Linked DNA regions of Drosophila melanogaster. The protein of the gene in region 2 interacts with the protein of the main gene of each other region in a pairwise test. Each region holds a gene or a part of one and is shown on either strand. Other genes may lie near its edges.

What was found.
Region 1: the proteins of Wwox (region 2) and PIG-C interact in a two-hybrid assay, tested with the Drosophila melanogaster proteins (one large-scale study listed by BioGRID).
Region 3: the proteins of Wwox (region 2) and CG7582 interact in a two-hybrid assay, tested with the Drosophila melanogaster proteins (one large-scale study listed by BioGRID).

The regions. Positions count from the first base shown.
Region 1 is NT_037436.4:3,317,521-3,321,235, forward strand, and holds PIG-C (phosphatidylinositol glycan anchor biosynthesis class C), read right to left. Parts: upstream 1,713-3,715; 5' UTR 1,673-1,712; coding exon 1,172-1,672; intron 1,070-1,171; coding exon 710-1,069; coding exon of another isoform or gene 632-709; 3' UTR 508-631; downstream 1-507. Other genes in the region: Dpm2 (Dolichyl-phosphate mannosyltransferase subunit 2), read left to right, coding at 2,277-2,385, 2,995-3,131; CG12016 (uncharacterized protein), read left to right, coding at 3,225-3,715.
Region 2 is NT_033779.5:7,999,150-8,006,220, forward strand, and holds Wwox (WW domain containing oxidoreductase), read right to left. Parts: upstream 5,138-7,071; 5' UTR 5,040-5,137; coding exon 4,948-5,039; intron 4,886-4,947; coding exon 4,376-4,885; intron 4,315-4,375; coding exon 4,135-4,314; intron 1,285-4,134; coding exon 1,155-1,284; intron 1,088-1,154; coding exon 959-1,087; intron 884-958; coding exon 695-883; 3' UTR 521-694; downstream 1-520. Other genes in the region: Sirup (Starvation-upregulated protein), read left to right, coding at 1-18, 100-401; Spn28Dc (serpin 28Dc), read right to left, coding at 5,502-6,411. UniProt on the Drosophila melanogaster protein: Putative oxidoreductase. May control genotoxic stress-induced cell death. May play a role in TGFB1 signaling and TGFB1-mediated cell death. May also play a role in tumor necrosis factor (TNF)-mediated cell death. May play a role in Wnt signaling.
Region 3 is NT_033777.3:29,679,734-29,683,742, reverse strand, and holds CG7582 (uncharacterized protein), read left to right. Parts: upstream 1-1,701; 5' UTR 1,702-1,876; coding exon 1,877-1,897; intron 1,898-2,446; coding exon 2,447-2,616; intron 2,617-2,678; coding exon 2,679-3,252; 3' UTR 3,253-3,502; downstream 3,503-4,009. Other genes in the region: Gycalpha99B (guanylyl cyclase alpha-subunit at 99B), read right to left, coding at 1-45, 106-341; CAP-D2 condensin subunit, read right to left, coding at 3,565-4,009.

The DNA.
Region 1 (3,715 bases), on a different chromosome or scaffold from region 2:
TGTAATCTGGATTATTTATCTCTCAAGAATGCTTACTGAAACTGTGGAAGTAGCTTGCAGGACAGCATGCATTACATAGATAGGTAAAACGCAGAATACTAAAATAATTAAATCTCTGGTTAGACTAGGAACTTCTGGGAAACCCAAGGGCGTGCACTTAATACAGATGTCACTCATCCATATTCCATAGTCTATTATTAAAGCAATTGCTTCAATTTATTTGCGTTAGATAGGGTCAAATATATTCAATGTATGCTCATGCGAATGTTTAATTGTTATCTACGAAACGGGTTTTAGTCGCTGACGATAAATAATCTTTAACTAAATTTATTTTTAGTCTGAGTAAAACACAACCAAGCCAAAAAACTCACCCTGTTAATTTAACTCCATTATCTTTCAATTGAAAAACCTTTGCCTTAAGTTGATAACAATTTATTTAAAAAGCCATTCATAGGACCAAAAGAAAGTCCCCTAAAAATTACACAAATTTAAAAGTGCTATGGTTTTAAACACAAAAAGTATAATTTATTAAAACGCTACTTACAAACTAACAGATATAACATGATACAAAAGATTAACATCAATGGCTTGGAATGAGTTTACAAAGTTATAAAAATAAGCGTGCAATGGTTTAGCGATCAGTGAAGTGCTCCTCGACGTCGCCGCTACCCAGTCGTGGCGGCAACTGTTCTGAGAAGCGCAGCTGGCGCTATAAGTTCCCATCCAGGTTCTCCTCGGTGTTCTCCTCCACGATGGCCTCGTCCCAGGGCCCGTGAATGTTGAACTTGTACTGCTGCTGCCACACGAATATGAACGGGCAGACAAAGTTGATGAAAATGGTGGTGGAGGCGTAGAGATAGAGCACCGGGCGCGATATACAGTACAGCGCCATACAGCATATTGCAAATATAGGCAACATGAATCCAGCATGCCAATTCGCTTCCGTCATTATGGGATAAAGGACGAAAAAGACGGCAGCCTCGACAAGGAGCACGAAGGCGTGATACGAAGTCGGCAGGCGGGAGGCTAAGCAAATTGCTCCAAATATGGCGGCATTCAACGAGACGGCCTGCGCTTAACATGGAACAAGAAGTATTTGTATTATATAGGATTCTGAGGTGGAGTCAAGATCAATATACAATCAACACCAATAGCCGTAAATATTGCCTACCTTAGAGACCATGGCTACATCCAATCCATAGTGTCCAAATATCAGGTTGCCCAGAAGGACAAAGAAGGTCATTGTGTATATGGTGTCCGTGCTGATGGCCTGCGTTAGGGTGTGCAGCATCGGTGAGAATAAGTAGCCGAAGAGGACCACTGTGACCAGGGTTTTGGAATCCTCGCCCAGCAGGGCCCAGCTGAGACTCCTTCCTCGGTAGCACAGGTATCCAATGCCTGTGATCCCGCAACTGGGTACCAGGATCGTGGTGGGCGACACGCTGTCGCTGAGCATAAGTTGGTAGAGTATTAGGAAGCCGGTGATGCAGGAGATCTGATTATTAAGCACTGTAATACCGGCAATTGCTTCGCCGAACGTGTATATTCTACAATGTAGATTCGTGCGCAGATCCTTCAGAAAGCTGGCATCCGTGTAGTTGTCCGGATATTCCCGGTTGGAGTACAGGTTCTTCACCCATGGCTGCCGTTTCGATTGCCCATTTTTTACCATTCTTAAATTTAAAAATTGTTTGTTTACAATTCTATTAGTGCTGGGTTATCAGCGTTCGATAGTATCAGTTACTATCGACATATCGATATTGTTTTATCCACTGAAAAGTATTGAAAGTAAGTGCTGGTCACACTGTCATAGTGATGCATGTTTCACTTGAAATATCGATGATGATAGTTTAATTTGAAATATTAATAAACTGTTCATTATCTAAACAAGGGGTTTTACAGCAAGCTAATAATATACAAATCTTATTCTGAAAATTATCCCCAAGCAGAAGTGACTCGCCTACATCGATAAGAACATCCGCTGGTGTTGCGCAAAACAGTTACTCGAGCTATCGATACTTGTTCGAGTGGTTGAACCACCACTACCTTGAATTCGGAAATTTTTTGACGCACTTGTTTGTTTTGTTTACAATTACGCCACGAAAGTAAATCGGCAGCTACGAAAAAACATTAGGGATTCGTGCGGCGGGTAAACGATCAGTGGACAGTGAAGCAGTCCGTCCGGGGAGAACGCCCCATGAGCAGTTTTACAAACAAATCGCCGGTCGCGTGTTCTCTCGCCAGAGAAACCCCAGAATTTCCGAGAATAGCTATTTATGGCTTCGAATGCGCAACTCGGGAAAATCATTTTGATATCTGCAATCGCCGTGTTCTTCTATTACTTCTTTTGGGTGGCCGTCCTCCCGTTTATGCTCATCGATGAAGGTGAGTTTTCCACGGCTTCCGTTATTCACCCGCTAATACATAAGTTTTATTGAATAATCTCGCGCTTTTGTATAGTAATTAAAGTGACGCCGCGGCGTAAATTGGTCACGATGTTCAATTATATATAGTTGGCAGTGTACGAGGATGAACCCGTGTGTTTTACAGAGGTGACCACCCTAACACGGGTTACCTGGAATGCGGCTGTACGATGCTCTAAGCTCGGGTCAAGGTCACCGACGACTAGTGATGATAGGAGTACAGTATTCGCCCGATATGTGCACAGTCAAACTAGTTAGCTATTGTAGAGTCTAGGCATGTACAATCAGCGATAAAAACGAAAACGTGCTTAACCAGTGGTACCACTGTATTATGTGGTTCCAAATCTGGGTGTGTACTTAGCTAATTATTTTCGGTAGTTTTTCCGCCTGGATATTGGCTCTTCACTTTATACGTAAATATTTCATGATCGTAGTTTTGCCGTTCCGTGACAATTTTAATTTGTTGCTATTAAGAGTAATCATAAAAACAATATACTTACGTATTTTCTTTCCTGGCCTGTTATCAAATGAAACACTTGTGAACATGAGTATACTTTACAAACTTTTACAGGCAATCCCATTCGGCTGTTCTTTCCACCGCTGAAGTACGCTTTCATTGTGCCCACCGTGTTCGGGGTGATCTTCCTCGGCGGCATCGCCGCGTTCTCCTTTTACCACATCTGGAGCCTGAGAGTGAAACGTGATTAAGGGGGTTATCCGGGGGGTTATCTTGCTCGGTGCGAACGCGAACGTACGATTCCACTGAAAAACAAGGAAGAGCGATAGTCAGTCGTGGACAAGATGCCGCAGTGGCTGGTCATTGGTATCTCGGGAGTCACCTGTGGTGGCAAAACTACGCTAGCCCACAGCCTGCACGACTACTTCAAGGGTCTGAGAGGAGCGCCGCTGTGGAACTCGCCGTACACCATTGGCGAGGTGCGTCTGATCTCGCAGGATGACTACTTTCTGCCCGTGGAGGACAAGCGACATCAGCGAAATGAGGCGCTCAACGCCATCAACTTCGAGCTCATCACCTCGCTGGACATGGCCAAGATGCTGAACGACATAGCGCACATAATCAAGGGGCGCCATGTGGCTCCCGAGCCACAGGAGCACCTTGTGACGTATGCCAACTTCGAGCACTACGCCCAGCAGTTCCAGCAGCAGTACCAGTACAATGCGAACTACTACAAACAGGCCAATGGCGGGGTCTATCAATATCCGCCACAGCAGCACCCGAGACATCACCCCCATCACCAGCAGCACCACCACCAGCACCATCAAATCCAGCA
Region 2 (7,071 bases):
CCCAAATGGGCAAACAAGGTGTGTGTGTGTGTGTGTGTGTGTGTGTGCGCACTGTGCTGGAGTGGCGATGCTAACGTTCTTTCAATTTTTCATTAACAGTGAGCTATCTATCGACGAGTGGCGCTTGGCGGGCAACCGCCAGCGGTGGCGACATGGTGGTCGAGATCAAGGAACCAAAGACGCGCACCGAGAAGCTAATGGCCTTCCAGAAGAAGCTGCGCGCTAAAACGCCGCTGGGCAAGCTGGATGAATTCTCGCGACATCCGTACCAGGAGAAGGAACCACTCAAGCCCTGGCCCAATCAGACCAATCCGTATACGGGCGAGATCGGCGGACCAGCCGGGCCGGAGCCCACACGCTACGGCGACTGGGAGCGCAAGGGACGCGTCTCCGATTTCTAGTGCCCAAATGAAGAGTTCCTTAACTAGTACTTAGACTGTTATTTAAATGCTAGCCATTAAGACTTAAAAACAAATCAAAATGTATACTTGTTTAGTGTAAAAAGAAAATACATGATATTCTTAACGTACAAAAGTTTATTTGCATTGCACTTATTGGGCAGAAACTATTAAAGAATTCAAAATATATCTTTGTAATGAATAGCTGGTTTAAAATGTAAAATTATACCTAATGGAATCATTGGTGGTAGCATAATGCATAAATATATTTAAAAAACAGTAGCCAAATGACTTGGCTAATGCTGCTCCTGCTCCACAAGCTCGGCAATCAGGTTCTCGCTCAGCTTCCACAGTTGCTGCTGCAGTGCAGCACTTTTGGACAACTTGCTGGGCTCGCAGAAGAAGCAATTGTTGAAGTACAGTCCAGACAATCCGGTCAGCTCGTTGGCCGTCGCACAGTAGATACTCGTGGCAGCCGCTTGTTGCTGCCATATGGGGCACAGAAAGCAATTAGTGAAAGTTAAGGGAAAACAGAGAGTTCTTCTCATTGCCAAACTCACCAGCGACTTGGTGAAGGGACGCACAATGGCAAAGAGCAGGCGGTAGAACCAATAGTTTCGTGACAAATCGCTGGACACCATATTGCCCGGATGCAGGCTAAAAACAGAAATGCCTCGCTGCTTCCAACGCTGCAACAAAAAAACAAAAAAAAAGGGTTGGCAAGTGGAATTCAATTGACCCAATTTAAGGACTCACCTGGGCGAGCTCCTGGGCGAACAAGACATTGCATAGCTTGGCATTGTTGTAGGCCATCATGCTCCAGTATTTCTCCGGCGGCGGCGAAAGGTGATGCACTGCCAGATTCTCCACGGGCAGGTTGGCAAATCTGCATGTTAGTTAGTAACTAAGATTATTTGCGACGCATTTCTTTGTCGGTACATGAGACCCACATGAACATTTCTCGTCCAAGTGAACTCACTGGACTTTGGCCCCGCCGGCCGACAATCGCGAAACGAGTCTTGATTGCCATTGCCGGCTGGCATAGCCGGCTTTAAGCGCTCTTTATTAATGAGATGCAGAATTAGCGCAGTGCAGGGCGCACAAAGGCTCCCCACGAACAATGGCGTGAGTCAACAAGTGGGGCCGGCGGAACAAAGCCCCACAATCGAACAAGGACCCTCTGATATGCATAGTGAACTCTATGGCGAACTATCTATCTATGTATCTATCTATCTATCTATCTATCTATCTATGTATCTATGTATCTCCAGTTTTCGGCGGAAGCCTCTGGAATCCTCGGCAGTAGCGCATGCGCAAGTCGCACATTTCCTGCGAATCCACGAATGCCGCAACATGAAAACATTTCTATACACAAACACATATCTGCGCGCACATTTCTGGACTTTGGATTTGTTTTCATTTTATTGAATATCTGCGCTCGGCTTGGGGGCGATGTAAATATAACGTCGCAAAATGTATGCAAATTCAGTGTTATTTATAAGTATGGGTATCCATTGGCATCCATGACAAATGAAACCCGTTGGCGTTCCATTTTTTTTCTTTTTTTATATATGTATATTTGTATCTTGTTGTGGTAGGTAAGCAAAAAAGCGTTCTTTTCGACTGTTTGCATGTAAATTAATTAGGTTCTACAGACAGATAAATTGCTGCTGAATGGCATTTAATTTTAGAACAATAACTCGTTGCTTTACCTTAAGACTCTAATTGAATTAATAATTGTTTAATGTCTGGACAACTTTTCCCACGCAAAAATATAATTATTTGAAAAAGAGAAACCTTAAATAAAAATATTTTATCTATGCAACAATGAATAACCCAATTTTTGTGAGCTGATGCAAGAATAACTAATTGTAAGTAATCTTTAATGTTTGAAAATGATAACCAGTCGAACTTCCATACCAACATTCATATCTTTTTCTCGCCCGTGTGAACGTGCAACAAAAGTCTCGTGCGCCACATTGGAGTACTCGCAGATAGTCATGTATGCTCCGCGAAGCCAAAAAATGTTGTACGTGAGCACAGCAACGAACGCAGCAGATACAAAACCACCTCCAATAGCCAGTATGTATGTACATACATATGTACATCCAGTTCAGTTTGAATTGGTATTGTGCCTCTTCACGAGATTCGCTCACCCAGTGATTTATTTGGTCTTTGACAGCATGCACAGTGAGCCATTCGAGCGGCCACAAATGAATCAATCTAATTAAGCGAGTTAGCGCTGATAAGGAAAATTATAGGGGCACTTTTTACATTTATAGTATCTATTTAAAGCATGCTAGTTTTGAACATTCAAAGTTTATCTTACAAAAAAAGTACTCTGCTTGGATTTATATGCGTAGCTAATCTGAATGTGTTTTAGTTTTAAAAGAAAAACAAAAATACTTTCTTCAGTTTAGTTAATTTATCTCATAGATATTTTTTAAAGAAAGATTACAATCATATTTTCAGAGCTCTCTACTCCACTGTGCTTACAGCTGCACGTGAGTTCGATCATATTGCTCTATTGTACGCACGTTTTTGGTTTTGATAATACAAAAACCCAGCTGCGTTGGCCTCGTAATTGTTTATATTTATGTGTTTCTTTGTTTGCCTCTGAGTGCGCAGCACAATATGTAAACGAAGCCTATGAATAATATATACTCATATATGCCAAGCTGAGTTCAATTACGTTTCGCCTTGAAATCGAATCAAACGGAAAACATCTTACGCAAACAAATCTGAGGCAAATAGGCAAACATTTTGGAAAACATTACACTAGACGGCATGGCTGAGGCGGAATGCATTTATTTCTGGTTTGGTCTATGAATAGTTTGGCCCCAAAGTGCGAAAAAAAAGAAAACGCTGGGTGCAAAGTCCACTATGCGGAATCATAAAAGTGCAATCAACTTGCAAAAATAAAAGAAGGCAACTCGAAATGGCAGACACACATTTAAAACTGATGGTGTCGAATACGAAATAGCTATTGAATTTATAACTACATTAAATAAATTAAATTAATATTGTAAAGTTATTAAGATAGTTAAAACATAAAGTATATAATTTTATTTTATTCCTTATTAAAAATATATTAAATATATATATTTTTAGAATGTGACATGCACCAAATTCAGCTTCAATTAAAATACCCGTGTGATTTTGATAATAATCATTTTGCACACAAACAGGTTGCAATAATGACAACTGTTTGCCGGCCAAAAACAGAAACAAAAAAATAATAATTATTAAAACGAGATTAACAGTGCTGACATTGAGAAATTTAATTAGGAAAGAAATAAGCCAAATTGATTCAAGAAAATAGGTTTAAGAAATTATATATAATACATCAATTTATATATTTTGAAGCTTCGATGTATTTTATTTAACTTAAGTAGAGACGATTTTCTATTGAGACAGTGACTGATAGTAAAATTGATACAAGAAACAATACGATCGAATTGTAAATAACTTTTTAATTCCCTTACTGATAGTGCGAAATATAACCAGTTGATTTTGTATTTCCCATGTAACCTTTTTTAACATATATCTTTTGAATACTTAATTTTTAAGATTGATCTATTGATATTTCATACGAAATATAAAACTTAAGTTCAGCGGTTAGTTTGTAACCTTTTATACACACCATAAGAATATATATGAATTATTTCGTAACTGGTATACTCTATTACCCCCTCCCTCCCTAATTACGTGCTAAAGTGCTCAAATTCACACTTACCTGTGCGACTCGGATGACAGCACAATGATCCGTGTTTTGTAGTCAAACAGTGTCTCCAGTTGCAATGTGAGGTAGAAATGCGACAGGTGCGAGACCTGGAATGTGGTCTCCAGACCATCCACGGTCCTCGTGTAGGGCAGTGCGAATACTCCGGCATTAAGGATGAGATAATCAATGTGGCTGCAATATAAATATAATTATCAATTAAATAATATTAGATTTTGAAAGCTATGCTACTGACCTAACACTCTGCTTAATTTCTTCCACAAATCGCTGAACTGAACGCAAAGAGCTCAAGTCGAGAGCGGCGAATCGACAGCGGGAACGTGCTGCAGGTCGCTCCTGGGCAATCCTTTCGATGGCCGCCTCTGCGGAGGATCTGTTCCGGCAGGCGAAGATGATCTCACAGCCGTGATGGGCGAGCGAACGAGCCGTCTCGTAGCCAATGCCACAATTTGCGCCCGTTATCAGCGCGGTGCGTCCATGCAAATCCTTGCCGTGCAGCACCTGCAGTGCCGTCGAACAGGAGTCAAATCGCTGGCGCACCTGGGCCACATTCTGTGTGGGCTCCTCCACGGCGAATGCCAAACGAGGATCCACATTCGTTCGTTGCTGCGTCTCCTTGTTGAGGAACATGAAACGCTTTCCCTGCTCATCGTAGTACTTCTCCCAGCCCAAGGGTAATTCGCCCGTGATCCGTTTGGAGCGACCCGTACGTGGATGTGTCCACTGTGATGTTTTTCCCTGCTGGCTAAATGGTGCAATTAAAAAATATCAGACAATGTTTACGACTCCACTGGACTTTTGACTTACTTCACATAGCAAACGGTGCCGTCATCGGTGGCACGTTCCTCCCAGCCGGGTGGCAGCTCATCCTCGCTATCTGTGTCGGGTAGGGCTATCATTTCGAATCAATTTAAACTTATTTAAAGCTTTATTTCTAAAGTATACACTTTTTATTGCGAAAAAGAATACAAAATAATTGAAGATATCGATAACATGCGGCTTAAGCGATAACTGCCGACTAAATGAACAGCTGTTCCGTTAAACGAAACATGTTACCCGCTAATAATCAGCATCTCCGTTTAACAGAGCTTTTAACCGCAACCGGTTGATTGGCGGTTGTTTTTTAAATTTAAATGATTTGTAGAAACTTAGCGCCTTGAACATTTGTGGGCATTGTTTAATCTGCCTGCTGTACGGTACATAGGATAATGTGAAAAGATTCAACAGCAACAAAAACCAATACAAATTTTCATAATTTACGTTTTAATTTATTTTTCATCATTGTGAATGATTTATTAGTTTCCTAACTATAAAGTCAACGAACTTAGGTGCTAAAGCTTAATAACTTATGATCCTAGAAACTAAGCGGCCGCCGGGGGCTCATTTATGAGTCCGTAGAAGAGCACCAGTTTCGTGGGATCGTGGCGCACAAGGACCATGAATGGAGTGTCTCCGCGGAAGAGGACATCGGGACCGGATTTCTTGAGGTATGTGACCGAAGACGCCGCCGCCTCCGTGCCCTGCTCGTTGACGGTGAAGTCCACTTTGTGAACAATGTCATCCACCACCAGATCGGAACGTGCTCCACCCGTTCCGGCTCTGCGCTGTGCCTCCAGATTCTGCAGGCTGTTGCCGCCCAGCGCATTCGTCCTCGTGGCCTCGTTGGTGGCGATGAGCGAGAGATCATTCTGCACCGCGCTAAAGATGCCGCCCAGCCCCATTCGCTGCATGACTGTCTTCAAGTTCACCGACTCCGTAAGATGCATCTTTGGGAATGCCACCAGAGCGGCCCGTCTGTACATTCGGCTGATCATGCTCTCGATCTTATCCGCCGTCAGACGTTTCTGCAGTGCCATTAGCTCCCTCACCGACGACTTAAACGGCTGGATGATGTACATGGTGCTCAGATTTCCCCTGTACGGCAGTCCAATGATCTTGCAGCCCAGCTCGTGATCCTCGTGATACGGATATGCACCACCGGTGGCCATCATCTGCACCCTCATCACCGGCTCCGTTCCCTCGCCATTCGGATAGAAGTTATCCGGACGTGTGGCTGACTCTATAAAGTCCGTTTCCCAGAATGCCTTAAAGTACAATGCGTTGGCCAGAATCATCCTGGTGGTCTGCGGAATATCGCTGGCGATGATGTTCTCGATGTGATTCTTTGTGTGCTGCGCCACATAAGCATTGATATTGTATCGTGCTGTCGCCGGACTGCCCTCGAAATCCTGAATCTGCAGATCCGAGGCGTAGACCTCGACGATCACCCGTCTGGAATTGCACAAAAGTGGAGCTCATGAGTAATAAATCAACAAGGCGCAGCTATTAGTATGCCAACAACGTTGTGCAAAGTGGAGCGATAGTATTGGGGAACTGGGGATGGGTTGGAATTGCAATATCTGGTGAGCTAAATAATAACTTGGGAAAGTAGTTTTTTTCCGCTTTTTTTGCAATGTTTGATCAGCTATAATTGAAGAATAAATAAATAATTAAATGTCTTAGTTATGTTTTTAAGTTAATCCATTCTTATCAGTGCTTTTTATTTGCCAAATTTTTGGCAATTCATTGTACCTACTATTTGACCTAAGGTTTCTAATTAAATATTTGATTAACTGATAATTCCAATTCCAATTCCGATTTAATTTTATTCAAGTTCTCTACATAAAAACAATCGCACTAAAAGTTCTTACTAAATTTGTTTGTCAATGGTTCCCATTTATATTCTAAACTTTATACGTACGTACGTACATATATATTTCTCAATGAAAGCTTGGGCTTTAAAGATTCATAAATATAAGTGGAATTACACGCTCATTTCTACACAGAAAAATATATTCTAATATTTTCTCGTTGTATATTATCTTCGAATATAAAATAAATACTTCCTTTTGGAGCACCACCATCAAGAGACACTAAACGCTTGATGATAAT
Region 3 (4,009 bases), on a different chromosome or scaffold from region 2:
TAGTCATAGTTGGCACAGCTCTTGAAGGTTTGCGGATCCAGTTTGCTAGGGTATATTTAGATATAGTTTATATCTAGTATATAATTTCTTATAATGCTTACTTACAGCTTGTGGATATTGGGCCAGTTCTGGCGGTACTTGGCCACCAAAGACGTTACAGCCGTGTTGAGATCCTCGTTCGACGGCGCCGTCAGCAGCTGGATGGCCATCTGGAGGTGGGTGAGGGTCAGGGCGTCGTCCGAGAGCTCCTCGTCCTCGAGCGCCCAGTGGCCACCAGGCTCGGCGATGACCGAGGGCTGGCGTGTCAGCGAGTCCGCACGCCTGAAGAAAGGACACGCCATGTCGCGTGCTCGCCTCTCGGGTGGCCTCTATTCGATCTATTTTGGGGGATTTGTGTGGTGCAATTAGTGGCTTATACAATTTAACAATTCAATTATTGAACGCAAATCAATCAAACTTGATAAAATACGCGTTTGCATTTTATTGCATAATTTGAGGTATGAGATAAAAAGAACACTTTTCAATACTTTCAAAAACCCATTAAGAGCATTTAATCAATTCAAGTGAAATTATAATTGAGATGTGTGTTTTCTCCGGAAATACAGTCATCTAATCGATGTGTATCGTGCATTTTCCGCCCGGGGCTTTTCTCTGCTCTTTTCTCAAGTTCAACGTGCACTTGTGTGAGTGGGTGGCTGGCCTGCTACGTGCACCACCCACTGGTGGCCCACATAGGCTCGAGTCCCTGCAGTGTCTTGTGTGGCTTTGCTCCTTGGAGGTCAAGTGTGTGGCAGTCCTTCTTTATTTCGTTCTTGGCAAGGATCCCACTCGTGCTTTCTGGCCAGTGGCATTACCATAATTTCGTTTTGCATAATTTACGAGCTCCGCTCCTGCCCCAATCCCCGCCAGCTGCTGCTGCCCGATGTGTGTCACACTGGTCAGCTTTAATTTTCACCACCTCCTGCTTTCTACAGGAGTGTGTATTTGCCTGCAGGAAGCACCCACGGATACACAATTTTCCAGCTCAATCAAGCAAGGTTTTTCCACTTGGGACACTCGAACGCCTAACAATAGCATACTTTTGGGCTAGCACTTACTTGGTTAAGAAAATAAAAATTCTTTCGCTGGCCTCTTGGCTTTATGCTCACTTTAAAGCAGTGACCAAAATTGCTGTGGAAATTCTTGGAGCGCTGAGGAATTTTTTCGCACGCCTGAAAAATGCCACAATCCGAAACGGAATGAACTTTGGGCCACAGTAAGGTGGCGAAAAAGTCCGGAGCCAGCCAAGCTTTGCGGAGAAAGCTTTGGCAAGTGAAAGTGTGCAGAGGTTGTTGCATTGTTTTGAAGATACAAAGAGAGCGGAGAGCGGAGAGCGAGTGCGCATGAGTGTATCTCACGGATACATTCTGATGCTGGCGGAAAAGCTCTGCCCAACGGTCAATTCTCAATTAACCTGTTGCGTGAGCAGCGCTCTCCGAGTTTCCCGCTCTCCACCAAACGGCAAAGGTAAGAAATAATCAATCTGCCCTCCTGGGCCCGCAAAATGTATCTGTATCTGTATCTGTGGGATATCCGTATCTGCAGAATGCTGCATATGCTGCACACCACATGTCCGGCTGAAAACTTTTCACTCTCCAGCAATCGGAAACTTTTCAGTCCAGCGAATCGAAAATGTATATGATACGCCTCAGTTTATTGACGTTGGCCGACCGTGCGCAACGTGTTCTTTTTCCATTGTTTTCATTTTCGGGGGGGCACTGTATAGTTTTGTTTATTTTCCATTCCGCGCTCGCATCGTGTGAAAGTGCAGCTTGGCTGGCTCGGATTTTTTTTTAACCCTCTCTAATAGTTGTAATTTGCACTAATTACGGCCGCAATGAACGATTTCGGGCAGTTCGTAAGTAGCGCAGGTTCTGGAATTCAGGAATCTCACGGTCTTAAGCTTCATTGATAATATAGAAATTATGCGAAATATGTATATGTGTGCATTGCGGATGCTCTATCTAAACGCAGAAAGTGGAACCAAGACGCAGCACACAAAGCTTCGTCCTTGACCTTGCACATCTCTCGGTTCTCCGGACGGGCGCACTTCGAAAGCTCCTGCATTGAAAGCGAAAGTTTGAAGGACCACTCGAGTGCCGCCCACCACCCGAGCCCATTAGACCCCCCCTTAATAATTCCATGCAAAGCCCATTTATGTTTGGTGACGAGGTTCCGTCGAGCCAACCCCAAGAACCAACCCTAATCTAATCTGCCCCCCGAAACGGTTCGATTTCCCTAATCACTTGATTTGGCTGTAGTTTGGACCTCCGTGGCTCGATTTGTTATAATCGTTTAAGCTATTTTAAGACCAGGCAACATGTTAAGCCTCGTAATCATATTAAGATAATTATTGTAAATACTTAAAGCAATATATTTAAAATTATGTACTATGTATCGATTATAGGCTAAGTCGCAAGGCCCAAAGTTGGTGCCATTCCTGGTTACTATTGTCCTATACTTCTCGCTGGTGAGGAAGGATCCTCAAGGAGAGCTATGGACCACCGTGCTCAAATGCCTGCCCATTTTCGCGCTTGTATTCTATGTGGTGGCCAAGGGAATCTCGCTCAAGAAGGAGTAAGCTTTATAGCATCGAAATACTATATACTACTTACTTATTAACAAGAAATTTTTAACAGATACCGTCGCTCACTTTGGATTCTATTGGGTCTGGTTTTCTCGAGTGGTGGTGATGCTCTGCTCAACATAAATCTCTTTCCCTTCGGAATGATCTCCTTTGGAGTGGCGCACGTGTTTTATATCAGCGCCTTTGGCTGGAAGCCCATAAAGTGGTTCATTGGACTGCTCTTGTACGTGGCCGTATCGCTTTGTAAGTTTACTGGTCATTATATACGTATACCTTACCTGGAATATTTGAAACCCCCAGTTGTTTACTTCGTGCACACGAAACTGGACGAGATTCTCATCATCGGAGTGCCCATCTACTGTTTCCTGATCACCACAATGCTGTGGAGATCGCTGGCCCGCGCCGTGGACTCCAGGAACTTCCTCGCCGTGTTCTGTGCCATCGGAGCCATTCTGTTTGTGATCTCCGACGCCCTGATCGCGGTCACCATGTTCGTGGGCGTGCCCCTGCCCTGCGCCCGCCTCCAGATCATGATCACCTACTACGCCGCCCAGTTTGCCATTGCGCTGAGCACCGCGGACGACGGTCCTGCCCTCCAGCGCTCCCTTCGCAAGAAAATTAAGTGAAGCCAGTGCCCAGTGCTCATCTGTCGGAGGCCCAGAGACAACATGAACGCAACCACCAAACTTAGTACTTCCAAAGCGTCTAGAGTATTGCCATTTACGTGTGTTGGTTTCCCCATCCCAGTAGCTTAGTGCAACCAAATATTTGTTCCCTTTCTGATGGATGTGGAAACGGATCTTAGTAGTTTACTAGATGTTTGTTGACTTCAAAGTAATAAATATATCAATAATAGGTTCTATTAACTATTTTATTAAAAACCATCTTTGTACATCATTAAAAACCCGCTCAGATCGTAACTTAAGATGGAGCACGAACTAGTCGCTGCTGCTGGAACTGAAGCTCTCTTCTGAGGTGGAATCCCGGCGAGCACGTCTTCCGCGTCCTCGCACAGTATTGTTCCTGTTGGCCGCCGGCTTGCGACCACCCTTCTTTGTCCTTGGCGCCGCTCTGGTTCTGTTGCCCTGACCTTCTGGAGTGCTTTCTTGATCACCCTGGGCAGCGGTATCCGGGTTGACTTGCAGGCACTCGTTCAGTCGGTTCTCGAACTCGGTGACTACAGCTTTGAGCTCCGGCTTGGCCAACTTGTTGGTGTTGCTAATGATGAGCTTGAAGGACTGATAAACCTCGTCCACCTGGACCTTGTCCCTGTAGTGCTGCATATTGTCCATTAGCTTCTTCACAGCTCGCTCGTTGTAGGTGAGCAGGCCGAGGCAGTAGGCGATGTCGCGCCATTGACGCTCCACCCGCGTTACCGGGAAG